3 linked regions of the Rhinolophus ferrumequinum genome follow. The protein of the gene in region 3 purifies or fractionates together with the protein of the main gene of each other region. This does not show direct contact. Links are inferred from orthologs where the notes say so. Each region holds a gene or a part of one and is shown on either strand. Other genes may lie near its edges. The genes, in order: CDK2AP1, CHD3 and ZNF219.

Region 1 (9,707 bases), on a different chromosome or scaffold from region 3:
CCATCCGTGCAGTCAGGACTGGTACCAAAGATGAAATATACTGCTATTCTCAGCCTAATCCTGGCCAGTCGCCTTTCTTTGAGTCCCGCTCCCCTAACGTTGATAGCCTAGAGCCACATCACTGCCGCAAGAGCCCACCTGCTACTGAGGCTGGTCCACAGCGGGGCTAGGATTTCCTGTGGGCCCAAACCTCTGCTGGGCTACATGATAAGGAAGACACAGGGAAGGTCTGGAGATTGGAGACCCAACCGTGGCTGGAAACTGGTGCATTGAACACAAAGTCAGGGAGCTAGAGGATATCACGGCCTGTGTGTGTTCCCAGACAAGCCCCTCAACCTCTGAGCTGGTCGCTCTCTGCCCAAAAAGGGCCCAGGACTCTTGACAATCAGAGTCAATGCCTGGATGGCTCACACCGCAAGAAAGGAGGGGTAAGGCCCCACTTATGGACTACGACACTGGAAGACACTGTCCCTCAGCAGCGCAGGACCACTTGGGGCCAGGGCTCAGCTCAGCATGGAGTCTCCTGAATGGGGGGGTAGGAAGGTCCTCAGCAGGGAATTTTCTAGCTCCATCCAGCTCCGGAGCTGGAAGCAAGCAGACCCATAATGGCGTCCGAGTGGCCATTAGCGGGTAAAGGATGTCCTACAGAATTACAAACAGCGGTAACCATGGAGAATTTACCTAGCCCTCCTCAGCAGCTGCCCGCCTGCCTCCACGCCTGGTCTAGGAGCAGCTCCCCCCGCCTGCCGCCTGCAGAGCCAAACGGTCTCTCTCACACATACAGCGGGCTCTGCAGACTTGGCCCCGGGGAGGGACAGCTGGTGCCAGGCTGGCCAAACGGACCAGCTGCTCATCTAGTGTGGGCAAGGGGAGGGGCGGAGAGGAAGGAAGGTCAGAAGCTCAGGCTGATGGAGCTGGAAGGGGCCCTAGAGCACCATGGAGCCCCTCACTATAGACAGAAATAAGACCAGAGAGGGTAGGTGCTGCCCCAGGCCACACAGCACAGAAGAGGCTAACACCCCAACACTATATCCAAGATGTCTTCCGTGGTCGCAGGCCTGCCCTAGATTTACTCACCAGGGCCCAGGTTTAAGCCCAATCAGAAAACATGGATTCTAATCCCTCCAAGCTGGTAACTGGGCACATCACTGGGTGACTCTGAGCCTCTAAAGTGGGGAGTGATAATGCACTGCAGAAATGTGCTGTTCAGGATGGGGGTAACTACCACGTTTTGACCTCCATCCAAGGCAGCCACGGGTGTGCCGCGGCCAGAGTACAGGAACTGGGGCAGGGTGCGTGCCTCCAGCTCCCCTCACATCATCCAAACCCCCGTTCCCAGTGAGTGAGGTCTCAGGTTTTGCAGCCCCAGCCCTGAGTTCCAATCCTGACCACTAGAAATTGTGACACCTCTCTGAAAGGCCAGGATACTAACTGTGAGACTGGGGCAGGGGGCGGGGAGCATGGATCATCCCACTACACTTCAAGGTGTCTAGAAGACACCAGCTCTCTGGCAGAGATGGGGGTGGCACCTCCCAGGCATTTTCCTGCCTTCCTCCTCCTCTTGCTCGTTTCACTGGGTTGCTGCCTCCCTGGCCTGTCTTCTCCCTTACAGGCAAGGGTCTAGACTAGGAGCTAGTCCAGCTGTGCCATACCTGGCTGTGTGACCTTAGACCAGCCCCTTCCGTCTCTGAGCCTCAGTTTCTCCATCAGAGGCAATGGTTCCCCACATTGCTCTAGATCCTGTTCTTTCATGGTGCTGGGCTTGGAGGCTAAGGAGGAGAGAGGAGGAACGAGAAAGTGCCCAGTTTTGGTTGCAGGGGTAACCTAGGTGATGTGGCAGGTGACACCAATCCTGTGGCAACGCGGTCCCTTACTCTGTGTTGAGGGGCGGGCAGGTGGCCCTGGAGAGTTGGCAAGGGGCCCAGAGTTATACTCATGCCCACTCCTTCCTACAGACACAGGAAGGGCCAGAGGGTCGTGCTGCGCAAGGCCAGGCAGAAAACCAGACTGGGCGTGAGCGCCGCGTTTCCGAGCATCGCAGACAATGCACGCAGTGTGCGGGGACCAGGGAGGCCGAGCAGAGGGAGGGACTGGCAGAGGCCAGCAGCTCCTGGGGCCAGGCACAGCTCCCCGCCCCCACACCAGACAAAGAGCGGCCTGGGCCTGGGGAGCTGGCGGCCTTCCCGCCACTTGGGGCGCCTTGGGGGGGGGGCTCTCCGTCAGAGAGGCGGGGGCTTTGTCTAACTCCGCCACCGCCACCGCCACCGCCACCGCCGGCCAGGCCGCGGCTTGGCAACCCGTGCGCAGGAGGCAGGGCTGGAGGGCGTGAGGGATGATGGCAAGGAAGCCGGAGGAGCGGCAGCGGAGAGTCCATCTTGGATGCAAATGGCAGGGGGAGATGGGGCTTTCTAAAGGTGTCCACCGGGAAGGGGCGGCCCCCACCGAAACACCAGCGATCCGGGCACCTCAGCACTCCTGGAATTCACCATAGGAGAAAGAAGAAAACCTGCGCAGAGCTGCCAGCCAGCCCAGAACAGGGCTTCAGGGGTCCTGAATGGATGCCCGTCACTCCGTGACCCCAGTCCCCAAAGGTCCCAGGTTAGGGCCCCTGCCTCAACTATTCCTAGGTCAGGACTGAGAGTTCCCGCCTGTCCAGGCTGGTGCAAGACCCTCACCTTTCCTGCCCCAGAAATGACAGATGAGGGAGGCAGTGAGAAATGCTACCTGCACCACAAAGCCTGTCTCAGTAAGGTTTGCAGACCCCAGAGCAGGTGAGAACATTTGAGAAAACAGTGCTGTGTGCTCTTGGGGATCAGAGCCCACATTTGACCAATTCAACTATCCCCCACACTGGTACCCTGAATCTTAACCCTTTCTAATCCCCAAATCTGTGTCCAAGAAGTTAAACACACACAGACACCACACACACACACACACACACACACACACACACGGCTTTTTTGGGTCCCTCTTCAGATTTCTGGAGTTAAGGAGCCACCGTTTGGAGATAAGGCCCAACACTTGCGGCCAACTGCCAGCGTGGCATTTCTGACCTGCAAGGCCAAACCCCCCTTCCCTCCCTTCTGTCCCCTCCCCCACCACCAACGTGCCTCGCTTTTGGGGAAGTATTTCCAACCAACTGTCTAAAGGAGAAGGGCCCTGGTGAGGGGACAAAGCCGGTGGTGTCCGCCTCCCACAATTTTACCTGCCCCTCACCCAGTCTCACTCAGTCCCTAGGGTGAGCCCCTGGGCACAGCCTAAAGCGGCCTGACAACTTCTGGAGGAGTTTCCCGGGACTGCCCGGCTCCAGTCCCAGGGAGGGGAGAGAGCGGCCCCTCCCAACTGCTGCAGGAGGGGGCCTCCTAGGCCCAGACTTGGGGGCTCCGACATGTGGGCCCCGACGGAGAGGTTCCCCCCCACACACACACACACACCGCCCTCAGGTACTCAGAAGCCCCCTGTCCTCTCCAACTTCTTCCACTCGCGCACGCCTGAGGGGGACCTCCCCAGTGCCCCATTCTCGGGACCCCTGCTCCCACGTGCCAGGCTTAACCCCCACTGATGACTGAGTCCCCTGCACCGCGGGTGACCCCCGTCCCCGCCGCAGCCGCCCAGAGCCCTCAGGGGCTGCTGCACCTGGCACGCCGCCGTCCCCCCGGCCCTGCCTACGCTGGCCTGATTTTGCACACGTGCGCCCCTGCAGCCCGGGCCTGCGCCCCCGCTCCCCACCGGCGCCCGAGCCCCGCGCCCCGCTCCCGGCGCGGCCCGGCCGCTCCCGACTCCCGCCGGCAGGGGCCCTCGCCGAGCCGCCCAAAAGCCGGAGGAAAAAGGAACCGAGGAAAACCTCCCCTGCCCTCGCCCGCCGCGCTCCCCGCGAGTCCTCGGCCGCCGGCGTGGGGGGGACGGCGGCGGCCGCCCGCCTGCGCCCGGGGCCCCAGCCCAGCCCCGGCCCGAGGCCCGGCGCGGGGCGGGGCGCACCCGCCAACTTTGGCAGCGCGAGCGCCGGAATCATGGCGGCGGCCGCCGCGCTGCCCCGGGCCGGGACCCGGTGCCCGTCGCCCTTGGCCTCGCGGGGCTCCCGGGGCCGTGGCCGGGGCCCGGCGTGCGGGCCCCCAACTTGGCAGCACTTGGGGCGCGGCGCGCGCGGCCCACGGGGCGCACTCACTCACCGGCGTTGAGGGAGGCGGCGGGCATGTGCGCGGTCAAGTTCGGTTTGTAAGACATCCCCCCGAGCGGCGGGGCGCGCGGGGCGCAGCGGGGCCAGGCCCGCGAGGCGACGGCGGCGGCGGCGAGGCCGGGCGGCGGCGAGGCGGGCCCGGCGTCCGTGCGCCCGTCCGTGCGCCCGCCGAGCTCCCGCGCACTTTTTGTTGTTGACGGCTCGGGCCGCACCGGCAAATATGGCCGTCCCTCACCCTGACACCGCCGCAGTATATCACCCATACATCGGGCGGGCGCAGGGGCGGCCGCAAACTTTGAGCCGAGCCAGCGGGGCCGGCCCGGGCCGGGAGGGGGCGGCCCGGCGTCAGGGGGCGGCTCCGCCCGCGGCCGCGCCCCGCGCCTCCCCGCGCGCTCGGCGCCCGCAACTTGGCAAAGTTTGGGGGGCTGGGGTCCCGGCGGCGCCTGTGGCCCGCCTGGGTCCCTTTCTTCTTTTTCGTTCTCGGCGCCTGGAGATTTTCTATTTTACCGCTTATTTTTTTTTTTTTTTAATAGCTAGGTAGGATTTCACAATTACTTTTTTCCTCCTTGACTGTGGGGGCAGGGATGGAAAATTACCTGGAGAAAATGGTGGCGAATGGTATTTTTAAGCACGTAGATCCTTCCAGACGCCGAGGTCTGGTTATTCCCCAGAATAAGAACAACCAATTCTAACATTGATTTCAAATAAATTTCACATCCTTGTCTGTATTTAGTGGTTTTTAACCCTTTGGGAGCCTGTGAATCCTTTGAGACTGGCAAAAAAGAGGAATCTCCTCCTGGAAAATCCACCCTTGCATTTACATAATTTTGCATCGTAACTCATTCAAATATTTAAGAAGCGCCTACTATGTGTCGGGTACTGTTCTAGGAGCTAAGGGTACAAGAATGAACTTGGCAAAGTTTCTCTACTCTCCTGGGGTTTAAGGTACAATTTTTGGCCCTCCTTCGACCCCACCCCAGCCTATGCTCGAAGCTGACTGAAATGTAATCATCAGATGGATTTAGGATTAGATGATTAAGCTTTTGAAGGTACTATTTCTTGGAGTTCTGCTTAGATGGTAAAGCTCGTCAAAACACACAAGATGCCCACCCTTTGCCATCGTGTTTTAATCACAATGGCTTGCAAATTTTTACACTGGTCCCAAACATTCAGACACACGCACCTAGTGAGGAAGGTTCCTCTCAGCTCTAGAGGGAAGGTATACCGCCCCTGCCCCTTCCCTTTGGGATTGAAGGTGCAGGTGACGTCCCCTCCCCTGCTTAACCAGCACCCCTTGTGATCAGCTTTAGGCTAGTTCATCCAAGGACACTCAATAAAATTTTATTTCATAAATAAATTGTCACCTTCCCCTACCCCCCCCAGGGGCCCAATACTCTGGGATAGCACTGTCTGATCGAAATACATTCCGAGCCACAGATGTGATTTTCAATTTTTCCGTAGTCACATTTTAGAAAGTAAGGAGAAACTGGTGACATTAATCTTTGGTACATATTTTTTAATATATCCACCACACTGTTTTCAATATGTGATGAATATAAAGAAATTAAGATACTTCACATTATTTTTATCACATGAAGTCTTCAAAAGCCAACATGTATTTTACACTCACAGCACATCTGGATTCAGATGCGCTGAATTCAGACCAGCCACCTTTCAAGCGCACGATGGCCACAGTAGCGATTTTCCTATGGGGCGGTGCAGGGCAAGCAGCTACAAGCAGCGGACTCCCAGGGCAGGCCCTAATCCTGGTACCACCACCTATGAGCTGTTCCACTGCACCTCCATGTCCTGGGGGTGAGAATCCAGATCTCAGTGGCCTGCACCAGTCCCGCCTACAAATGTCCTGGGCTCTTTTTCAGTTTTGTTGTGTTTTCACCACCCTTCACTTTTAAGTCCTGATTATCCCTGAAAACATTTTTCCCTTGTTTTTAATTGAGATACAATTCACTTAGCATAAAAGTCAGCTTTTTAAAGTATACAGTTTTGTGGTTTTTAATCCATTCAGTTATACAACCATCAACACTATCTAATTCTAGAATATTTCTGTCACCCCAAAAAGAAACTCCATACCCCATTGCAGTCACCCTTTTCCCACTACCCCTAGCTTTAGGCAACCACTACTCTACTTTGTCTCTATGGATGTACCTGTTCTGGGCATTTCATATGCATGGAATCATCTGACCTTTATCTTCTTTCATTCAGCATGTTTTCAAGGTTCGTCCATGCTGCAACATGTATCCATATATTATTTCTTTATTATTCATGGCTGAATAATATTCCATTGTATGGATAGGCCACATTTTGTTCATTCATCAGTTGACAGACATTTGGTTGTTTTCACTTTTTGGCTGTTATAAATATGGCTTCTATGAACATTTGCGAACAAGTTTTTGTATGAACGTTTTCAATTCTTTGGGGTATATACTGGAATGGAATTACCATAACCCTGTTACTATTTTTTTTTTTAATGTTTCACTTTTTAAGGAACTATCAAACTGCTTTGCTTAGTGTATGCACTACTTTCCATTCCCACCAGCAGTGTATGAGGGTTCCAATTTCTCCATTGTCTTCACCAACACTCCTTGTTACCCTGCTTTCCCGAAAAAAAGACCTAGCCGGACAATCAGCTCTAATGCGTCTTTTGGAGCAAAAGTTAATATAAGACCCGGTCTTGTTTTACTTATTTTATAGTAAAATAAGACCGGGTCTATAATGTAATGTAATATAATATATATAATATTAATATGACATAATGTAATATAATACCCGGTCTTATATTAATTTTCACTCCAAAAGATGCATTAGAGCTGATTGTCCGGCTAGGTCTTATTTTGGGGGAAACACGGTATCTGATTTTATTTTAGGCATCCCAGTTGGGTGTAAAGTAGCATTTCCTGGTTTTGATTGGCCATTTCCCTAATGAATAGTGATGCTGAGCATCTTTTCATGTGCTTACTGGTCATTTGTACATCTTCTTTGGAGAAACATCTATTTCAATCCTTTGCCTATTTTTTAATTGAGTTTCCTTTTTAGGTTAAATTGTAAGGGTTCTTTATATATTCAGGATATTAGTCCCTTCACAGATACATAATTTGCAAATAGTTTTTCCCGTTCTTTGGGTGGTCTTTATTTTTCTGTAGGGTCTTTCACACACACGTTTTATTTCTTGAAGTCCAATAGGTCTCTTTTTTCTTTGGTTTGCTTGTGCTTTTGGTATGCTATCTAGTCCAAGGCCGTGAATATTTGTCACCTGTGTTTTCTTTAAAAAGTTTTTAGTTTTTGGTCTTACATTTAAGTCTTTAACCCATTGTTAGTTAATTTTTGTGTACGGTGTGATGTGGACCCATTCATTCTTTGCAGGTGCATATCCAGTTGTTCTGGCACCATTTGTTGAAAAGACTGTTCTTTCTCCACTGAATGGTCTCGACACCCTTGTTGAGGGTTTATTCCTGGACTCAGTTCCATTGATTTATGTCTGTCCTCGTGCCAGTTCCACACGGCTTTGATGACTGTAGCTTTGTACTTTGGAAGTGGGAGAGCTCCAATTTTGTCTCTTTCAGGATGGTTTTGGCTCTTCTGGGTCCCTTGCATTTCCATATGAATTTTAGGATCTGCTTGTCCATTTTCGCCACACACACAAAAAGGCAATTGGAATTTTGATATGACTTGTATTACATCTGTGTATTAATTTAGCGAGTACTGCTATCTGAGTTGCAACATGAAGTCTTCCAATCCATGAACGCAGGATGGATTTCCATTTATGTAGGTCTTATTTCTTTAACTTCAACAGTGTTTTCAGTGTGTAAGTCTTGTACTTTAAATTTATTCCTAAGTATTTCATTATTTTTGATGCTATTGTAAATGGAATTGTTTTTGCAATTTTTGGATTGTTCATTGCAGCATGTACAAATCACACCTGATTTTTGTATGTAATATTGTATCCTCCAACTTTCTTGAACTCTCTTATTAGCTCTAATTTTTTTTGTGTGTATGAGTATTCTTCAGAGTTTTCTGTAGATAAGATCATGTTATCTGCGAATGGAGTTTCACTTCTTCCTTTCCAAATGGGATGTCTTTTATTTCTCTTCCTTGGCTAATTGCCCTGACTGGAACCTCAAGGACAATGGTGGCTAGTAGTGAGGGCAGGCATCCTTGTCTTTGATCTTGGGGGGCAAGATTTTAGTGTTTCACCATTTAATATGATGGGGCTTTCCATCAATGCCCTTTATCAAGTTGAGTGGTTTCTTCTATTACTAGTTTGTTGAGTGTTTCTATCATGAAAGTGTTAGGTTTTGCCAAATACTTTGTCAGTTTCCCCTCCTTCCCGCTTTTATTCAACAAATATTTGTTGAGTGTCTACTAAGTGTCAGACACTATTCTGGGGGCAGCAGGAAAGACAGTCCCCATCATGTCATGAAGCTTATTACTCTAGGCATGGCAGCCACATTTAGCTGTCTCCTCTGACCCCACCACACTCATCACCTTACCCGTCACCTCCCACTATTTGTTATTTTTCTTCAGGCCAGACTGGGGTATGACCCTGGTACTTGTTCATTCCCACATCTCAGGCTTCATTACACCAACTGGCCCTTGTGCTGTGCTTGGCAAACTCCTGTTCATCCATCAAAGCCCAGTTCAACTAGCCCACCTCTGAAGAGCCTTCCCTGGCTGGCTATGCCTCCACGAATGCTTGCTATGGCACTTCATCTGGTCTGTCTCCTCCATGAGTCTGAACTTCTTGAAAGGAAGAACTGTATCCTTCAATGTTATAGTCAGGCACATAAAACATTCCGGGATGGCCTCAGTGTGCTGCTCGAATTGGGACAAAGTGAGACTAGTTTTCTTCTGCAAGGACTCTGGTTCTCTCTTTTACCTGCTCACAACTCACTTTCTCTACCAGATGTGTTAGTTTTCTGGGGCTGCCACAACAAATTAACCATCAACTTGGTGGCTTAAAACAACAGAAATTTACCATCTCCCAATTCTGGAGGCCACACGTCTGAAATCAAGGTGCTGCAGGGCCATGCTCCCTCCAAAGGCTCTGGGAGAGTCCTTCGCCCCTTCCAGCTTCTGGGGACTCCAGGTGTCCCTTGGCTGTGGCAGCACCACTCCCATCCTGCCTTCGCTTGGCCTTCTTCTCTGTGTCTTCCCCCTTTCTCTTCTAAGGATACTTGTCATTGGGTTTAGGACCCACCTGACTCTAAATGATCTCATCTTGAGATCCCTGAATTAATTCCATCTGCAAAGACTTTTTTCCAAAAAGGTCTCATTTACAGATTCCAGGTGGACATAGCTTTTGAGGGACTACCACTGAACCCACTGCAACAGGCTTCAAAAAGGATCTGGAATTTTCCTTTTCTCCTCTTCCATGTCTAGGCGTTAAAACCCCTAAAAGGGGAAAGAAACATCATTAGTGGCGCCACTAAAAGACGTCTGTATGAAACTCACTGAACCAGGCACCTTTTAATGAGTGGTTTTAGAATGATCTAGAACAATTCCCATTAGTTTA
Region 2 (10,058 bases), on a different chromosome or scaffold from region 3:
TTATTACATATAAAGTATATTATATATTTACTATCTATAAAAATACACGTAAGAAATGCATAATCTCAGAACAAAGGACAGACCTTACCAGGAAAGGACAGAGGACAAACTTACTTAGCCATTTTGGGAACCACTGACTTAGAATTCTATCTCTAAAATTCCATACTATCTTCAGCATTTACATGCCTTTCATTATTATCACTAATCTATATATTTCAAAAGACAACTGGGAATTTCTTTAACATCTGCTTAGATAGAAAATCATAGATTGCAAAGTGTTTTTTCAGTTCTTCGATCTGCTTTGTTGCGTAAGTTCATGTTTATGCTCTATTAACCAGTCTCATTGGTTCCCTCCATCAGGGTTTTACCCTGGGGTACACAGACTTCAGGGTATTCATGAAAACATGTGTCATATTTTATATATTTATTGTTTTTCTGGGGGAAGGGTTTATAAGTTTCTATGATCCAAAAAACGTTAGAAACTATTGCTTTGGATAAGTTTCTTGCTTTTGCTTTAAGTAAAAAAAAATCTTGGGAGTCCCTTACAATGTTTTTCTTTTTTTGTGGGGGTGGCACAAGCTAATTTTGGGTTTGCATTTGACAGCTGCCTGCCTTTTTTGTTCTCATCTTAATGGTTTTCTCATTAAAAACAAAAAATATTCTCCTCTACCAATTAGTCATATGGTATTTAAATTATTTTATTTTTATTTTTTGAAGTACAGGAAAATAGCAAAAGGCACAGAATGGTGCCCACATTAAAAATGACAGTCATGAAGACAAGCAGCTAAAGACACTGAGACACACAGGCAAAGATAAAAGGCCTAAGGACAGACAGAATAGACAGATAAAAGAAATGTAGAGGAACCTGGAAACACAGAAGGAGAGACACAAGAACTGAGCAGACAGAAAAGAAGGATGGCAGAAAACAAACAGGCTGGCAAGGAAAGAAAGGAGAATGACTGACAGAGAAGCACGTAAGACCACCAAGAAGGACAGAGACAGACAAATAGGAAGAGAAAAAGAGAAGGAAGGCATACAGAAATAAAGGAAATAATAAGAAAAGAAAGGAAACGAAGTGATAATAATGTTTTATACTACCCAGTGCTTTATAATTTATAAAGTGCTATCACATACATTACTGCAAGCAGACAGGGAGAATCCAGCAGACAGATGGGGTGATGGAGGGATACAAGGATACAGGCCAATCACACAGAAGAGAGAGAAGGTAGCCAATCAGAAAGAGAAGCTAGAATGTAGCCCAACACAGAGTTAAGAGGAAAGACAGAACCAAGAAAAGAGAAGTGGGAGTGGGAAACGAGGGAAAGACAGAAGAGAGACACAAAGATAGAGGCTGAAACCATTACATTCAGGAATGCAGGCAGTAAAAAAGCAGAAATGAAAAGAACAGTGCATGTTGTGTAAAACTTTTATCATCATCTTTCTGAAGAGACCTGGATAGAGGCTGTGTCTTTCTTTCCCGCAATGAGTTGTAACATCACTAAGGTGGCATGTGAGAAGAGCTATAGGAAGGATGAAAAGGGAGAAAAGTTTTAGTAAGAAGAAAAGATTTTTAAGGCTAGGAGGAAGACAAACTTCTTGGACAGGCCTAGGTCAACAGCCAAAGAGTGCTGCTGAACTTAAAAGGATCTATATTCATATGCTTTTAAAGAATTTATGTAGATGTGGGAAAGGCAGAGCAGGCCTGTTACCTACTGTGTTCATGTAAGCTCAGCTTATAAACTATCTGTACTTATTAAATTATACATATATTTGTATAGTATTTTTTCAGTACTATCAGTGCTTTCATGTCCTTTCTCAATTCATACATACTTCAGTGATGAAGAGACCAGCAGAAGTGTGCTGTCATCAAGATAACCTATTATGCATAGAACAGGAGATAAGGAGAGAGCAAGACTGTCCTAAGTGCTCCTCAGGTACTAGTAGTAAAAGCATACAACTAGCAACCAGTCAATCAAAAAGACAAGTGCCATAAAGTAGACAACAGGCAAGAGATGACAGTCCAGCAAAATAGGAAGGAGTACTGACAGACTAACAGAAGCAGCAGCATCCAGCAAAACTGGGAGAGAAGTAGGAAGGGGTGCATCAAAAAGCAAGCAGATATATATGTGTGCCTCTTCTCTGGAACAATATCCAAGAAATGGGAAGTAGTGGCCAGTTCTGAGGAAAGAAACTGGGTGCTGAAGAGAAGGATAGGAAGGGAGACTTAGTCTTCACAGGACACTTTTAGTCCTTTAAACATTTTGTACATGCGTATATACTATCTATTTAAAAGTTGATTGAAAAAAAGAAAAAAAAGGAAAGCAAGCAGAGATGTGGACAGCAAGAGCCAGCCAGGTAGAGACAGCAAAAAGGCAGGAAGACAAGGAGAAACTGGGAAAATGGCAAAAAGACTGAGGCAGGCAGACTGTCTGAGGAACCAGAAAGACAGAAAAAGAGACAACTGAAATGGCGGTAAGCAGTGAGAGAAGGCAAGGTAGAGGATATGGCAAGAAGGCAGATAAGACTTTGGAGCAAGGGGTCACTGAGAGGTTTGGGATACAGCCCATCACCATTGATGGGATGTTGGGATAGAAAAGCCAAGGGAAAAAAAGCTGATAAGCAGACAGACTTAAAAGATACAAGCATTAAACAGTGGGATAGCAGCAAGCAAGTAGAGTAGGTAGGCAAGAAGACAGACATAATGGGAGGCAAGGAAAAATCAGGAACTTAACAAGCATAAATAAGAGGAGGAACAAGAAGGAGGATAAGATAAGCCAAGACAGGGAACCATGGCAGGGCATAGAAGGTAGAAAAACCCAGGCTAAAAGTGATAGAGACAGGCAGGCAGGGAGACAGATGGCTAGAGAGAGAGAGAGAGTGGTGGGCAAACAGCCAGCAAAGCAGACAGACAACCAGAGAGAAAAAGGCTGCCAGCCAGTCAGGGAGGAGCAGACCAGCAGGCAGGCAGGCAGACAGACACCATAATAGAAGTAAGTAGGTAGAAAAACAGGCAGAAACAAGGATAGTAGAAGAAAAATCAAGAAGTTAGTAGGGAGAGAACAGGAGATGCGGGTAGGCAGAGGGGGAGATGGACAAGAGGGAGAATCAGGCAAATTAAGAGATCTATATGCAAAGCACACACTCGAGAATGATAAATGTTTGTACAGGGATGCACACAGTCACCTTTAGTCACCCACACCTGCAGCTCGTGGCACATGTGGCAGGCAGGCAGAGGCGCTCAGCACAGAGGGAGAGGGAACAGAGGTAGAGAGACTGCGGCACACATGATGTGTAGGGTTGCCCACATACACGTGGGGACACTCTTCCCAGACACACACAGAAGGGCCAGAAAGAGGGGGAGTCAGGCATACACGAGGAAGAGGCACATGCAATCAGAGCCCGGAAGACAGAAGTAAACAGAAAGAAGACAGAGATGGATAGTCACTTAGAGGTGCTAGAGCCTGACAGTCAAAGGGATAAGAAAGACGGTCTTAGTAAAAAATAAAGACATACGTGCAGACAAGCCCGTACAGAAAAGAGAGATATCCAGATGGACTAGGAAGAGAGACTGAGAAAGAGGATAAATAAAACAAAATCAAATGGAAGACAGATAGGAATTAGATTCATACAGGAATGATACGGGAACAGAGGCAAGAAAATTCCAAAGTTCAGGTTAAGAAAAAGATGTAAATCAATGCTCAATAAAGTACATTAGTGTGTGTGTGTGTGTGTGTGTGTGTGTGTGTGTGTGTGTGTGGTGGGGGGACGGGAGGAACATCAATAAAGAACGTTTTAGCCTCATAAGCAAAAATCTGCATAGTATTCCTTGTACTAATACTTTCTGGTTGCTACCTACCTACCCTTCCCTCTTCAGGTGCTCCCAAACACTGCAGGGGTTGCTGGGTGGCTGGCAGCTATACTTAAGAGGTAGGGAAATAACCCAGGAGAGAAATGACTTCACAGGCATGGGATGGGAAGCAAGGGAAGGGGGAAAGTGAGATCAAAAGAACTAGAGTAAGAAAAGGGTGACAAGACTGAAAAAGGGTAGAACTGAGCCATTCACCCTTCTTCCTTTGCTAGCATTGTTCAACTGGCAAATTTTATTTTACAACTTCTCTTATCAAGTCTCTGGATGAGAAAGCTACTTTTGGACTCCTTTACAATATTCCATCGGATTTCTGGTACCACTATAAGATAAACACTGGGGTATAGTTGGAAATAATGGTTCAGAGTCACATGAAAATGTGAGTGTAACCCCCCTACCTCTGTCTTTCTCAGTCCAGGTTACTTTTCTTTCACGGTATCTCAGTTTCTTCCACTTCATCAGTGTTGGAGATTATGGAGGAAGGGAAATATACTGAAATAGGAGAAAAGAGAAAATCATTTCACAATCTTCCGATTTGACTCTTTCCCCTTTATTCTAAAAATCTGTTCTATTTACCCCTAAATTAATTTCCCAAGTCAGATGAATTTTATATTCAAGCAATTGGGGAAGGGGAGGGTGAGGTAAATGAGAAAAGGGTGAAGATAAAATGTACAATTATAAATCACTGAAAAGGCTGGGCAAAGGGGAGAATCAAACATGGACTCCTTTGAAAAAAAAACTCAATCATTGTATCTATTCATATCTCTCCCCCAAAAGTCACTAGGATTTCTATCACTTTTTTAAAGAAAGAAAAAAAATCCAGTATCACTTCTCGCTTAAAAGATACGTACACAATTAAACGCGTTTTGACTTCAATGAGGTATGTAGAAACAGTTATATATAAACATATATTTCATCTTTTTCCTTTTCAATGCCTGAAGGGGAAAAAAAGCCTTCACATCAAACCACTCCCTTCTGAAGTATTCAGAAAAAAAAAAAAAAAAGCTTTTCTTTAAGAGAAGGGAGGTGGGGAGGAAGAGACTAGTAAAGAAAAAAAATTAGATCTAGTTGGATTAGTATCTAACTAGTTAACCTTTAACAATTTATGCTGATGTCAGACTGAGCATGAGTACTGATTAATGCCCCCCCTCAAATATTTTTTATAAGGGGGGAGTTAGTCACAGCAGCCATTTTTGTTTTATGCAGAAATCCTTCATGCCCCCCCGCGCGCGCACACGCGCGCGCGCGCGCACACACACTCAGTACACAAGGAAAATATCTCTATTAATCTGTGCACTAATCAGTTATGAAAAAAGGGGGAAATTTGTGGGTTTCTGGGTAGAGGCTTAGAAATGGGGGTGTAACAAGGAGGAGTATAGGGGGTGAAAAATAAAATATTAAGCCAGCCATTTTGTTTTAAAAGGGGATTTTTCCCCCCTCTCCCCTTCTTCATGGAGGGGGTGGCCGTGCTGGAGGGGGGGTTGTTTTAAAAATAATTTCAAGGCGGCCATCTTAGTGCCTCAGCTCTGAGAAATATTTCTGAGCGCCCCCCTCAGAATTTAAATATATTTAAAGCAACGGAGAGGGGGGTAGAGAGTAGTCGAAAACTTTTATATATACATATATATATATATATTTTAAATCCCCCCTTCTTGTTCTCTTGGGAGGAAGAAGAGAGGGGGAAAAAAAGTCCTCAATTTTTTTTCCAAGAAAAATTTTTGGGGTGGTTTGGCCCCCCTTCTCAGACGGCGGCCCTGAGGGTGGGGGTTTTGGAGGGGGGTGGCCCAGGGGTTTGGGGGGCTGGGGGAGGCGGTGAGGAGGAGGAGGAGGACGCCGCCGCCGAGGAGGAGGAGGAGGAGGAGGAGGAGGAGGAGGAGGAGGAGGTGGTGGTGGTGGTAGCGGTGGGGGAGGCGGGCGGGCGGTGGGTGGGGGGGTGGTGGGGGGGCCAGAGCCACAGGATGGCTTCCCCTCTGAGGGACGAGGAGGAGGAGGAGGAGGAGATGGTGGTGTCGGAGGAGGAAGAAGAGGAGGAAGAAGAGGGCGACGAGGAGGAGGAGGAGGTGGAGGCGGCCGAAGAGGACTATGAGGAGGACGACGACGAGGGAGTACTCGGGCGCCGGCCGGGCCACGACCGGGGCCGCGACCGCCACAGCCCCCCCGGCTGCCACCTCTTCCCGCCGCCGCCGCCGCCGCCGCCGCCTCTGCCCCCGCCGCCGCCGCCGCCGCCCCCTCCGCCAGGTAAGCGGCAGCCCCGACTCCCCCCCTCCCCCCAGCCCGAGTGGGAGCTGCAGGCGCGCGAGGCCCGGCGGGGGCGAGGCACCCACCGCGCGGCCGAACCGAGGCGAATCCCGGGTGCGGGGCGCCGTCTCGGGCCCGTCGCCCCGCGGCTGTCCGAGCGGTCCGGGCGGGCGACGTTCGCGGCGGCCGCGGGGCCAGGCCTCCTCCCCTCCCCCGCCGCACCCCTCCCCCGCCGCCGCCGCCCGGGCCGGAGAGCGCTGGGCGCGAGCTGCGCGCACGGACCGGGCCATTCGGTTGCGGCTTTCGGGGGAGGAGGAGGAGATACATATATATTTTTTTCACCCTCGGCGGGGAGGGGGTAGGCAGGAAACGGTCGAGGCGAAGCCAAGGCCCCCTCCCTGGCCGAGCGAGGGACCGCGGAGACCCTGGCGGCCGGACGGCGGCGTGGGGGAGGGGCACGTGGGGGAGGGGCGGCCGCGCGAGCGCCCCTCGGGTTCTGGTCCGGGTGGGGTTGGACTGAGGTAAAGTGGGGTTTCCGCGTGTGGAGCAGACCGCGGCCTCAACCCCCTCCCCTCAGGAGTAGTGAAGGTGGGGGGGCGGTGTCCATCGGACCCCCCCACCTGCGGGGACTTCGGTGCCCGCCAACTCGGGCGTGCGGTGGCACGTGGGGGAGGGGTTGTGTGAATGTTTGTGGGCGGCCGATGACTAGGGGCAGGTGGTGGCCACACTTCACGCGGACCACTTCCTGGAATCGGACTTGCTCCTACCCCTGCTCCCCACAGTTCGTAACAGGGACAGCAGGCACTTAGGACAGGGGAGCGGGAGGCGAGGGTCTGGGAAACCAGATGCACCCAGCTCCACCCCATTCATCTTTCCTCTGCTCTGGGCTCTTTTGTGTCAAGTGCGCCTCCCCCCCCCCATGACCCTGTCAGTTTGGGGTGGCCGAGCTGCCCAGCTGTGACTCTCACGTGGCTGCCATTCACTGTCACTAACTCTCGCTGAAACCACCCACACCCTGACCACGTTGAGGGGCGTGAACTGCCCACCCAGCTGTTCTGCAGCTTGACCATCACTCAGCACCACTCCCCCCACCGCCTCCCGGGATGACAGGTCACCGGCACTCTCTGGGCAGTTCCTCCGGTGGTGGAGGGGACAGACCGCTGCCGCACCAGGAGCCCAGCAATGACCTTACTCAGACCACCCTCCTAGTGGAGTTATTTCTAGGCTTCTTTAGGATAGGTGACATCTTTAGGGTGTTCACACTTCCTGCTTGGGTAAGGAAAGGGGACATCCACATCCCCAGGCCTCTGGGTGCCATGCAGCACAAATGCACCAAACTTCAAAACATCTAACATCATGCTCTTTGTAAAACTCATATTGATCTCTGTGGCTTGTGTGGCAAACGTCCTTTGAGGGAGTGTAGGGTGCTTTCGTAAGAGGACAGGAGGATGCGTGTCTGATGGAAACAGGATAAAGTCTCCTTCACCGCCACCAAGCTTCTCTGAAAAAGGGAAAAGTTTTTAGAAAGTTATCCCAGAGAGCCCACTGATTTGCGCGAGGGAAAAGGAATAAAGAATTGTGGGGAGGGGGGGTTGCTTGGAAAACAGCCAAAGGGCTAAAAAGAGAGAAAGAGGATGTCAGGTTATGTTAGGGTATTGGCCGCTGTCACCTATTTGTATTCCGAACTTGGAATGTATTTGATCCGGGATTTGGGTATGAGAGAGAGGAGCATGAAAGAATCTGAGGTCGAGATGGGTCTTTGTGTCAACACTCCCTCCCTTTTCCCTCTTTGCTTTCTGAATAGATGAGAAGTAACGTCAAATGTTTTAAAAATTCTTTATTTGAAAAGAAAACCCACCTTTTCTGTCTCCCAGGGCGATTTTATTTCCCTTTCAGCCCTCCAAATCAAATGAGTGACCCAGATACACCCCCCCTCAGATGACTTTCTGAGGTAAAACTTTGGGAAAATATTTTTAGTCTGCTCATTATTTGTCTCCCTAAGTGTGGGCAAAATAACCCTCCTCTAAGGAAATTTTCTCGGGCTGCCCCCTTTCATCCTTCTCTAGAATATGAATTTGTGTGTATTAGAGGTTTCTATTGTTTTTCATTCTGACTGCTTTGATTCTCACCATTTTGTTTTACATTCTTAACCCAAGACCAATTTTATCCCTTCCCCCCTCTCCAGTCTCCTTACATTGTTAAACGTTTAAAATAATAGCACTCGTGTTGATGGGGGAAGGGAGCAGGAAGCCCAAAACTCATTTCTTCTCCCTCCCCCTTCTGGCAAGTCTAGAGAAATAATATAACATAATATATAGATGTGATTCCTTGGGGGTGGGGTGGGGGTGGGGAATGATTGTGGGTGGTGCGGAAAATTCTGGTAGTTTCTTTGCAAAAGGTCTGAAGATACAAACCCACCCCCTACGTGTAATACGCATGTGCAGCAGACCTATTATGGTGGTTCGTTGTGGGGGAGGGAGGGGAATTTGAGAAAAAATAAATATATGTGTGAGAGATTGATGGTGAGATTAGAAGAAAAGGGGCGGTCGGGAGGCGAGGCTTGCTGCGAGACTCCTCCTGCTTTCTCTGGCAGCCAGGCTCCGCCCTCCGCTCCTTGCCCACCCTCCTCCCTCGCGGTCTTCCCGAGATCTGAGCCGGGGATGTGGGAGAGTCTGGGCTCCGGGCCAGCATTGAGTGGCTGGTGAGACAGAGGTTGGGACTTGGATTTGCTTTATTGCCCTCCCTTTCCTCTCCTCGCCATTCTCCTTAGCCTCTACCCACCACCGCCTTCCCAAGTTCGGAAACCTCCTGCTGGGGTGGGGAGTGGAGTTAACTGGCTGCGAGGTCCCAGAGCTTGTGCCCCACCCCCAGCTAGTGGTGACCGAGGCCGTTTCCCTGATCGTTAGCCAGTTGGCCTGCCCTTGCCACTGCCCTGTTTCCCTGTTCACGTTAACCGAAGTCCCTGGGGTTAGAGAAAGTTGGCTTGCTGGGGCATGGTGTCTTACTGACTTTTTATTTCCTATTGCAATCCTCACTGTTTTCACACGGGGGGCTTTCTGCAGGCACCCCCTGCCCGCCCCCCCCACCCCAAACTCCCAATCCTAGAGTGTCTTCCTGCAGGAGAGGACACAGGATGCTGGAGTTTTAAGAAGTAGCATTGAAGGAAGGAGGTGCCGGGATTCTGAGGCAATGGAAACCCAGGCCTCCGGTGTTAATTGTGGCTAATCTTCCCTTGGCTGTTGTAGGAGGAAGGATTGTGTGTCCTAGAGCAAGGGGCTGGGCGGAGCCCAGGCTTTTCCCGCTCCTGCACAGACTCCTCTGCCTGAGCAAGACAGGTCTGGCTGGTTAGTCTAGTGCTTGCTGTGGGAGGGAGGCCAACTAGGGCTCCATGTCTGTGTGGCATCAGTGTCTTCCTCTATGTGGAGTAACTTTGTCTCCTAAGCCTCCACAGATGGGCAGGGGTCATGGAGATTGAATCAGGGGGACATCAGGGAAGAACTAGCCCTGACCTCTCTGACAGAGATATCTGGGGAGAAAGGGACATAGCCCTGCTGAAAGCAGGTACAGGCTGTCCTCGATTTGTGCTCATGAGTTTGTGTGTATGCCTGTCCATTTGAGAATACATAGGTAAGGTGTGTCTGTTCCTATATCTTTGTTTGGGTTTCCCATACTGTTTATATATGAATGGGTCAGGATGTCTGGAACTAGATTTGGAGACAAAGGGTGAGACCCTGGGACAAATGGTAGGGCCCCTGAATTCTCAAAGGGAGAAAGAATATGGAAATAGGTTTGAAGGCAGATTCCAGGCTCCTTATGAGGAGAAAGAATGTTTAGGTAATTGTGGAGACTTTCTCCTGTAGGATTAGCATGTGATGAAGGAGCGAGGCCTATGATCCAATGGGCCAGAAGTGAAAATGACCAGCTGAGGATTTCTTTTCCTCCAGGGTTGCGCTGG
Region 3 (9,352 bases):
GATGTAACCAAGGAGGACAAGCCTGGAGGCATAGAAACTATTTAGGACTCTTTTTTCTGTGGTCGGTGAGATGTGATGAGGAGAAAAGGACTGATTCAAGAGCAAGAGGAAAATCTATAGAATGTGGTGAGTATTGGGCTATAGCAAATGAGGGAGAGAGGTTTAGCATTCAGTTTGTGTGACCAAAGGATATAAGACAGAAAGTTCAGAAGCGGGAGTAGGGGGCAGACAAGAGGAGAGAATTTCAGGTCTGCGATGTGTAACACATTTCCTGTAGGCCTCCTTTTAAATACAAGAGAAGTTAGACATTAACTTCTTGAAATCTTTCTTATCATATCTCTCTCTCTCTTTTTTTTTAATTGGGGAAGGGGAACAGGACTTTATTGGGGAACAGTGTGTACTTCCAGGACTTTTTTTCCAAGTCAAATTGTTGTCATTTCAATCTTAGTTGTGGAGGGTGCTGTTCAGCAGTTGTTGTCCTTTCAGTCTTAGTTGTGGAGGGCGCAGCTCAGCTCCAGGTCCAGTTGCCGTTTCTAGTTGCAGGGGGCGCAGCCCACCATCCCTTGTGGGAGTCGAACCAGCAACCTTGTGGTTGAGAGGATGCGCTCCAACCAACTGAGCCATCCGGGAGCTCAGCGGCAGCTCAGCTCAAGGTGCTGTGTTCAATCTTAGTTGCAGGGGGCGCTGCCCACCATCCCTTGCAGGACTTGAGGAATTGAACCGGCAACCTTGTGGGTGAGAGCCCACTGGCCCATGTGGGAATCAAACCGGCAGCCTTCAGAGTTAGGAGCATGGAGTTCTAACTGCCTGAGACATCGGACTGGCCCTCTTATCATATCTCTTGAAGGCATTGGTTTTCAAGGAGGGGGCTATCTAGCTTCACAGGGTACATTTGGCAATGTCTGCAGATTTTTGGTTGTCACAAATGGGGTGAGGTTGTGTTGCTGGTATCTAGAGGGTCAAAGCCAGGGATGCTGCTAAACATTCTACAACGCATGGGACAAAGAATTATCTGGCCCAAATGTCAGGAGTGCCATAGTGGATAAATTCTTTCTAGGGACTAGAGGAATAGAAATTAAAGGTCATCTATTCCAACTATTCAGTTGGTATTTGAATACTTGCTTCAACAACCTATCAGTGCAGGATAAGCATGTTGCAAGAAACATGTCTAACATATCCAGAGGTTCAGAGTTCAACTTCAAAGTAGCTCATCTTTGAAAGGTGTTCAGTTTCTTCTCTTTTTGTTCTAAAATCAGCCTTTCTATAACAAGTAACCCAGCTTCACTTATTAGATTCACAAAGAACAGTTTCTCTTCATCATATTATTTTTGAGATTTATAAAGACAGGAGTCCTGTTTCTTCTGTGCCATGACTTGAGTCCTCTCGCTTTACTTAAAGCATAAGAATGAGTACATAGTATTTTCTTTACACATAAAGGGAACACATAATTATAAAGAAGCAAAACAAATTATTACATCTTGGGATCTGGGACTTGGGGAAAACATTTTAAACAAGAAAACTTTACAAAGGCAAGGTAAAATAGACATGAATCAACAAAGACAACTCATAACTCTGGACAGAACATAGGAAAAGTTTCTAATGAGAAAAATACACCAAAGATACAGATGATAAGTAGAATCCAGAATAACATGAACCATAAAATATAAATAAGGCAGAAAAAAATGTAGACAAAGACGAAAAACAAAAGAAACAGAAGACAACTCCCATTAAGTAAATGACATCTGAATTTTAACGAGAAGCAACACACATCAGCTTAGTAGCAGGTTATCTCTGACCTGAGGATCTAGGAAATTATACAAGGAGGCCCTTCTCCCTGACGTTTTATACAGGGAACAGCAGATTAAAACACCAAAGGCAGCATTTTCACTCCTCCTCTCTCTCCTCCCCTCTTCCTCATCTTCCTTCTCCTTCCTCCTCTTCCGGAGTTAGGGGTAATGGTGGAGTCAGGGCTCTCCATAAAAAAAAAAAAACAACAAATGGAAAGTGTACAGGAGGGACTAACAGGAGGGACAGACAGTTCTACAAACTTACTTTAGCAATAGGAAAGTTAACACATTTTTTAAAAATTAGCATTTATTGGGGTGACAATGGTTAGTAAAATTACATAGGCTTCAAGTGTACAATTCTGTAATACATCATCTATATGTCACATTGTGTGTTCACCACCCAGGGGCAGTTCTCCTTCCATCACCATATATTTGACAGTTAACACATTGTGATAATGAAAAAATAAATAAAATTAGCGCCAAGTAAAAATGTTTTCCTGCTTCTCTCCTGTGCTCAGTGACTGCTCAGTCATCAGTAGCCCAGCTCTGGGCAGTCTCCCAGATTCCCTGTACCCTGGAGAGGGACCTCTGATAACTTCAGTGCACAGACTCTGTCATATTTATAGGAAACATTGTCTCACAGTGACCACACCGCCACTGTTCTGTTCAAACCATCAATCAAATACCGAGCTTGAGGCAGCATCAGCAAGGCAAGCCAAAATGAAGGGCGTGGACGCGGAACAATACAAAATGAGTTTAGACAAGAAAACGCAATCCAGAAACGCAATGGGATAGTCTCTTCTCACTGAGATTAAGAACATCCCAACCCCAGGTGGTGAGTGGTGAGAGGCTACGGAGCATTCAGCAGGCCAAGCAGGCGAGGTCAGCTCTGATTACTCCTGGGTAGATGAGTTTACTGATTTCGGTGGCTCGTGTCCAAGATTACGTAACAGGCACAGAGGCCCAAGGGGGTGAGGATGACCCGGAAGGGCCCTGCGCCTGGCGCCTACTCTCGACGTACAGATTCCGCTTGGGCCACGTGTGCTGCTGCCCTGGTGGACTCATTGCAGGGGAGGGATTTGGGGAGCGCCTCGCGGCGTGCAGAGAGTCTTTCTCCAACTAAGCCACTCCACACGCCATTACCTTGCGGAAGACTCTTTGTGAGACCTTGACCCAGGCAGCCGAGAAGCCACGAGATGGCAGCAGAGGACACAGCCCGGGGCACAAGACCTGAACCATCTGCAAACGCATATATTTTACTTGGGAAATATCATCAGTTATCTATAATCATGAAGTCAAGGCCAGAATATCATAGAAATGAGGGTAAAATTCCACACGGGGAATTTCCCAACCACCGGAGAATTCGACCGCATACAAAGCCACATATGAATCAGATATTTCTCCAATGCTTAAAACATTGGGGTCAAGGCCTTTAAAAACTGGCATCAGCAGAAACCTGGTCACAGTCACTTCTTTCTGTGAAGTTCCAATGGGCAGCAATATAAGTAAAATGTGAGTGACTTCCACAGAAGCTGCCAAACTGACAAAGAGATAGATACACTGGTTGCTGGGAAGCACTGTAGCAAAGCATTGCAACCAGGGACTCTAGCATTAGGCAGTGTGGAGGGGGGAATAATGAGGATCACAGGACAAGCCTCAGTCTTCACTTGCAGCTGGCAGAGGCTAATGCACAGGAAAGGGGCATTAGTAGCACTGGGGTTAATCTCCGATCTTCTGACTTCTCATCTAATGCTCTTTTCATTACATATCTGCCCCTCCCCCAGTCATAACTACCAAAAATGTCTCCAGACGTTGCCAAATAACGTCCGGGTGGCAAAATACTCCTCCTTAATAACCAACGCCATAGAGAGTTCTGAATAAAAAAAAATTTAAAAACGTAATGCTAAACCTCTCCAAGATTTGAATTTCAGAAGACGCCTCGAAGGCCAACGAAAACTGTTATTGCACATCTAAAACCTGCATTCCTACCATGTTTGTATAACAGAGGGGCTATACTTGAAGGGCAATAGGCTGAATCTGGTCCTCAATTAAAAAAAAAAATTTCTTAGTGACATGTTAAAATCGGATTTCACATTTAAAAGTCAGAATTTCTCACTTGTATAGGAAAATTGGAACTATGACAATACCAGACCCACAGTTCCACACGGCAATAACTGGATGGAGTTGAGGGGCAGGGGGTAAAGTATTTAAATAGAATGTGTTTAGTTTGCCACAGTTCCCACCACTTCCTATTACTGCACACCCTATCTGCTTCACTCATTTACACTACTCCTCATCCCAAAGGCAATTTATTCTCAGCCTCTGAAGTGCTTCATAGTTTTATTTTTCCATGTATAATTTTATTTTAGCCTTCATACTCCAATAAGATAGGATAAACACTATGATTACTAGGTATCTACATGTAAGCAAAATGTAGTTCAGAGAGGTTTGACTTGCCCAAACTTACACAACAAAACCAGAATCTAGATTTCCTGACTCTCGATTCTATTATTTTTTTGGGGGGGAAAGTTTCTATTAAGAACTTCATTTAGTGGTTCATGGAAAAAAAACCATAGTAGATATGGGCATAACTGCTAGAACAGATGAGTTCCAACTGCTGAGCTGTTCAAGAATCACTGCAAATGATTACCTCTTATTCTTTTAATGAGTCTACTTCCCTTAGCCTTCCAGGTGTATGAACAAACTGCCCTTCTGTCTTGAAGTTGGGTGTGGCTATATGACTTGTTTTGGCTAATGAAGTCTGAGCGGAAGTGATACGTGTTCCTTAAAGGCAGAATCTTTTAAGAGCCCATGAACAATTCTTCACGCGTTTTTAGGGAGAGGGGTGACTCTAAGCTTCATGGTAGGATCTAAAAATGGTGGAGCTCCATATGCTTGGGTACCTGAATAGCTTATAATGAGCAGAGCCCCCTGCCAGATTACTCTAGTGTGAGATAAACCTTTGTGGTTTTAAACCATTGAGATTTTGGCATTGTTACCACAGCATAACCTAGCCTAACCTGACTGCTACAGGTTTATGTGCATGGTCATTGAACTTCTCCAAGAACTAGAATGCAATTCCTAGACTTCTGATCATATCACTAAAAGCTGTTGCTCCTATCTGGAAGATAGAGAGAGTGAACTGTTGACTTTTTAGCCCCCGTTTCCTCATCTACCACCACCTCTGACATGGAAATTATTTTCTGAGTACTTCACACATGAGCTCTCCATTATTCTAACAGTTAGATTGGGAGAAGGGGGAGGCCCATATCTTATTTTCTCCATTCCAGAGCCTAATCCCAGAATTGTCCCCACCCACTAGTACTCACACAACCTTGTCATAGGGCGACTATTACCACTCCCAAGGTGTCACAAACAGAAAGGAGTTGCCGCTGGCACCGCTGCAATGCTAGGGCAAGGCAGCCAGGCTGCGCTCTTTCCTCACTGGTGTCTGGGCTTGGCTAAGCCAGGAGAAGCAGCATTCTCTAAGGGAAAGAAGCCTTCTCAAATGGGAACAAAAATGAGTGTGAGGCGCACACCCATCCTGGGCTCTATGTGAATTTGGGGTGAGTTCTTTTAGTACTCCAGCTCTGGTCAATTTCTAGTTTCTCTGGCGGCTGGTAGGTTGTCCGGCTTAGTACTATTGGGCCTCCCAGTTTTCCTGGGCTTTTCTCAAGTCCACCTGAGCTTGTCATCTTTGCACACTAGCAAAGGTCATAAACGGTGGGGGTTGTGAGCAACCAGAGCTTCAGCCACCGGATCGCAGCCGGGATCAAAGGTCGGCGGCGCTGCAGACAGGCTGAGCCTGCGCAGTCCTGCTACCGTTTTGGAAAGAAGGGGTGGCGGCCACGCGGGCTCGTTACACCCGCGTGCTCTCAAGAGGCGGGAAAGTCTTAGGTTGGGTCGCCGCGTCCCTCCCTCTTCCTGCCCCGTCCACCCGTCTGCCCAGCGAGCAGGTCCTCCTCAGGCGCCCAGGCTCCGGGGGAGGGGGACGAGAAGAGCCCGGGGATTCTGACTCATCATCTCCAACCCTTTCTCGCGCGCGCTCCAAGTCTCAGGACTTTGGACCTGGGCACTGTAGGAGGGGGCGCGGCGACAGTATCTGGGGAATCCCAGCTCTGCCCAGGGTCAGCTCCCAGACCCTGCCTGTCTCCGAAGCTGGCAGAGAGAGGAGTGTGGCGCCACAGTCTGCTCTCAGTTGCTGAGGTTGGGGCGGCGGCGCCCCCGCGCAGAATAACCCGCCCGGCTCCTCCCTAAACGTGGGGCCAGTGGTCGCGTCCGAGGAAACTCAGCTAGGCCCGGACTTCCAGCACCTCGCGTCACTCAGCAGATGCACAGCGCCCCCACCGCGGAGAAAAGGCTCTTTATTTCCCAGCAGGCCACGGGGTAGCGAGGCATCCTGGGATTTGTAGTCTCCGCTAAACTAGAATGGAAACGGATCCGAGGGAAGGGAACTAAAGCACCAATAATTGATTTCAGAGAGTGGGCAGGCAGGGGAACCCTGGCTCGGAGTGGGTGGGATTGTGAAAGGTGGAAAGAAGAGAAGTAGTGAGATGAGGCAGATGTTAAGCTGTATGGGGAGGCCGTGGGGAAGGATAAAGATGGAAGGGAGGAAGTGGGTATAGATGAAAGTTGGTTTAAGGATGCCCTGCAGGCAGGCAGCTTTTCAGGGCAGTGAGGTGAGGGAAGACGCTGATCTAGGTATAGCTTCCCTTAGAAGAGAAAGGGGCCTAGTTTGAGTGAAAACTGAAGGCATTCCACCAGACTTCATGTTGATCTCAAGGGACTCCATCTAGCTTCTGACTTTGGTGGGGTGGGGTGCAGGAGGGTCTGGAGAACGCTACCACAGGGCAGGAGAGCAGCACCTGCCTGCTTCCCTTGCCAGTTCACTCATTTGTTCCGTTTGTTGTGCTAGCCATTGTGGGACGATTCTCCAAATCAGTAACTTCCTCCAACTCAGAGAGACCCTGAAAACCAGACAGAGGTGTGAAGGGAGTAAACTGTAGGGGTGAGAAAGGTGGGATCCCAGACAGAAGCAACTTCCTCCTCCTCCTGTCTCATTTTTTTCTCGTGTTCTCATAGCCCTTCCAATACTTACACAGCTTCCTAATGTTCTCCCACATTTCTAGCCCCAACTCTTTAGTTACCCAATTCCCTCTTACCCACCACTAAGGGATAATTGTCCAAAGCCAGAAAACCAATCATTTTCAGTCTAGGATACCTTCCTTGCCTCCCTGCCCCAAATGAGCTGCTAGCTATCTGCTCCATAACTTCCCTCCCTGCCTTCAATACCTCCTGCAGCTCCTGGTAGTGCAGACTCTGGCTCCTATAGCATCCTGGCTTCCTCTGGCTCAGCAGGAACAGGGAGTATGCTGAGAGCAACACTCCCCCCAGGGTGAAGGCTTCAGTGCTGATCTCTAGCACCAGCAACCTGTCCAACTGCAGGTAGACAGGGCTGAGGGTGCTGCAGAGGACCCAGCACCTGTTTCTTCAGCCCTTTTCCCTCTCCATCTCCTCTTGCCTCCTCATCCTCCCACCTTCTCCTTTATTTGCCCATACCTGGGAGGGGGCAGTTGGGACAGGCCCCAAGACTGTCTTCATCACCTCGACCACCACCACGACGAAGCCAAAGATCAGATTGAAGGTGTTGAATATCATCATGGCCCGTACCTGCCAGTGAGCCAGCTCAGCACTGCCCAGCCTAGGGGACTCATTGCAACCCCAAGCCCCACCTGCACCTAGCCGGAAAAAAAACCCCCTCAGCTCTTCTTCCTCCACCTCCCAACAGGGCAATCGTCCTTTTAACTCTTTTGCTTTCCCTCCTCAGTCTTTTAGGCGTCAGGGGCAGACAGCTGACAGGATCAATCAACACTTAGAGAGCCACTTCCTGGGCTGAGAGGTGTGTGTGTGTGTGTGTGTGTGTGTGTGTGTGTGTGTGTGTGTGTTGGGGGGGGTGGGAGAATAGTATTTCATTCTCTTCCTTTTTCACCTTCCAGAGGCGGGGTGCTCTGCGCAGCTCAAGGGTAACAATCCCAGTGAAGAGACCCTGAATGGTGAGAAAGGCAAGTGTTGAACTCTGGCCTCATTAATGAAGAGCCTCTAGGACCTTCTACCCTCTGTTGTGGTGGATCTTACCGATGCTCCAGGTCCAAGCGGTAGTGCTGTGGCCATGTGACAGTCAGAGTTCAGGCAGGCAACTGAGACAGCAAAAGGCACTAGAGCCACTGCCAGCCATAGCTGGCTCACCTGGAGGCCAGGGGCAGGATGGTTGAAGGGAAACTGTCAGGAATTCCCTACCCGCCTCCAAACCCCTGCTTCTTGCAGAGATCAGCAATTGGCAGGAATACATGGTGGTGGAAAGTAGTCAACCAAGGGCAGTAAAGGAGGGGGATATAATTTAATTTCTTCTGCCTCATGTCATAGTTTAGTTACTTACCTATGTGTTTTCCCCACACGATGGAAGCTACTTAGAGATTAAGGGTCTTGCCTTGTTTATCCTATGCTTCCTCCACCCTCCTCCCACTCAGAGCCTAGCAGTTTCAAGTACATGGTAGATGCTCACAAAACATGGATGGAACTGAACTGGGGTACAAGTGGACATGCTGAAGCTTGGGGTGGGGCATCTGGCCTCACCGCCAGCACCAAGAGGTGCCCACTCTGTCTGTGCCTTGCCCAGTGCTGTAGCTTTTCCAGACGAAGGCTGGATCTCTCCTGCTCTCGCTGACCAGCTCTGTCCTCCATGGCTCCCTTGACCACGAAAGCTTGGTGCTTTCCTGGAAAATACATTATAGCACCTATCAAGAGACAGGACATGCAAAAACATCTCTTTCAGCTGCCCCTCTACCCTATTTCAATATCCAGGGAATTGAGTCTCAGAGCCTCTCTCACCTACCTTGTCTGAAGCAGCTACTCCAAAGTTATGGGACCCAGCTGGGCCTGGAGGTCCTAGTAGCACAGAGCAGACAGGCTGTCAGGGCTGGGGTGTGGTGGGGCAAAGGTCCCCATGAGGGACTAAGAATCCGGGGAGTGGCCATGGGTAGACAGTTCACTCCATAAGACGCCCAGCCCTGCCTCGCTCTGTTCCTGTTTCCCGTTGCCCCCATCTCTGTCCATCCTGGGTTCCTCTTCTGATCACTCAGCCATGGACACTACCATCCTGGGCCCCAATTTCCCCCCATTTCCATCTAACATTTCTCCTTTTTTTGGTTTCCTCTTCAAATTACTTGCTGTTCCCTAGGGCAATCCCATATTACTGTCTGGACTGGTACCCTGTCATTACCACTTGCAGCTTTGTCCCAAGACCAGGCAAGGTTCAATTCTCCTCGCTTCCTCTCTCACTTGCTGAATGGTTTCTCCTCTCTCCACCCTTTCTTGAAGGATTTACTTTGGATGAGACTCCGACGAAGTGGATGGGGCACCCTATTTATAGTGGGGATTGTTTTTGACTTGGTGGTAACCTGCACCTAGACATGTATAGGAGATAGTCCCCAAATAATCATTTTTGGGAAGGATGCTATTGCAACAACATTTTTGAGAGATACAAGTTGCTTTATAACCAGGCCAAC

The links.
Region 1: the proteins of ZNF219 (region 3) and CDK2AP1 purify together in Homo sapiens (affinity purification with mass spectrometry; 3 studies listed by BioGRID and IntAct, counting the BioPlex papers as one, with this or other methods). This does not show direct contact. The link is inferred for Rhinolophus ferrumequinum from reciprocal best matches to the Homo sapiens genes ZNF219 and CDK2AP1.
Region 2: the proteins of ZNF219 (region 3) and CHD3 purify together in Homo sapiens (affinity purification with mass spectrometry; 3 studies listed by BioGRID and IntAct, counting the BioPlex papers as one, with this or other methods). This does not show direct contact. The link is inferred for Rhinolophus ferrumequinum from reciprocal best matches to the Homo sapiens genes ZNF219 and CHD3.

What each region holds. Positions count from the first base shown.
Region 1 is NC_046308.1:4,503,143-4,512,849, reverse strand, and holds the start of CDK2AP1 (cyclin-dependent kinase 2-associated protein 1), read right to left. Parts: upstream 4,302-9,707; 5' UTR 4,225-4,301; coding exon 4,170-4,224; intron 1,719-4,169; exon of another isoform or gene 1,708-1,718; coding exon of another isoform or gene 1,653-1,707; intron 1-1,652. UniProt on the Homo sapiens protein: Inhibitor of cyclin-dependent kinase CDK2. Also acts as a component of the histone deacetylase NuRD complex which participates in the remodeling of chromatin.
Region 2 is NC_046304.1:11,049,639-11,059,696, reverse strand, and holds the start of CHD3 (chromodomain-helicase-DNA-binding protein 3), read left to right. Parts: upstream 1-5,811; 5' UTR 5,812-5,823; coding exon 5,824-6,103; intron 6,104-6,189; exon of another isoform or gene 6,190-6,323; intron 6,324-10,058.
Region 3 is NC_046289.1:71,988,522-71,997,873, reverse strand, and holds the start of ZNF219 (zinc finger protein 219), read left to right. Parts: upstream 1-4,927; 5' UTR 4,928-5,353; exon of another isoform or gene 5,354-6,673; coding exon of another isoform or gene 6,674-6,754; intron 6,755-7,079; coding exon of another isoform or gene 7,080-7,226; intron 7,227-7,346; coding exon of another isoform or gene 7,347-7,457; intron 7,458-7,776; coding exon of another isoform or gene 7,777-7,833; intron 7,834-7,922; coding exon of another isoform or gene 7,923-8,033; intron 8,034-8,349; coding exon of another isoform or gene 8,350-8,388; exon of another isoform or gene 8,389-8,420; coding exon of another isoform or gene 8,421-8,528; exon of another isoform or gene 8,529-8,560; intron 8,561-8,679; exon of another isoform or gene 8,680-8,807; intron 8,808-9,352. Other genes in the region: TMEM253 (transmembrane protein 253), read right to left, coding at 6,674-6,754, 7,080-7,226, 7,347-7,457, 7,777-7,833, 7,923-8,033, 8,421-8,528. UniProt on the Homo sapiens protein: Transcriptional regulator. Recognizes and binds 2 copies of the core DNA sequence motif 5'-GGGGG-3'. Binds to the HMGN1 promoter and may repress HMGN1 expression. Regulates SNCA expression in primary cortical neurons.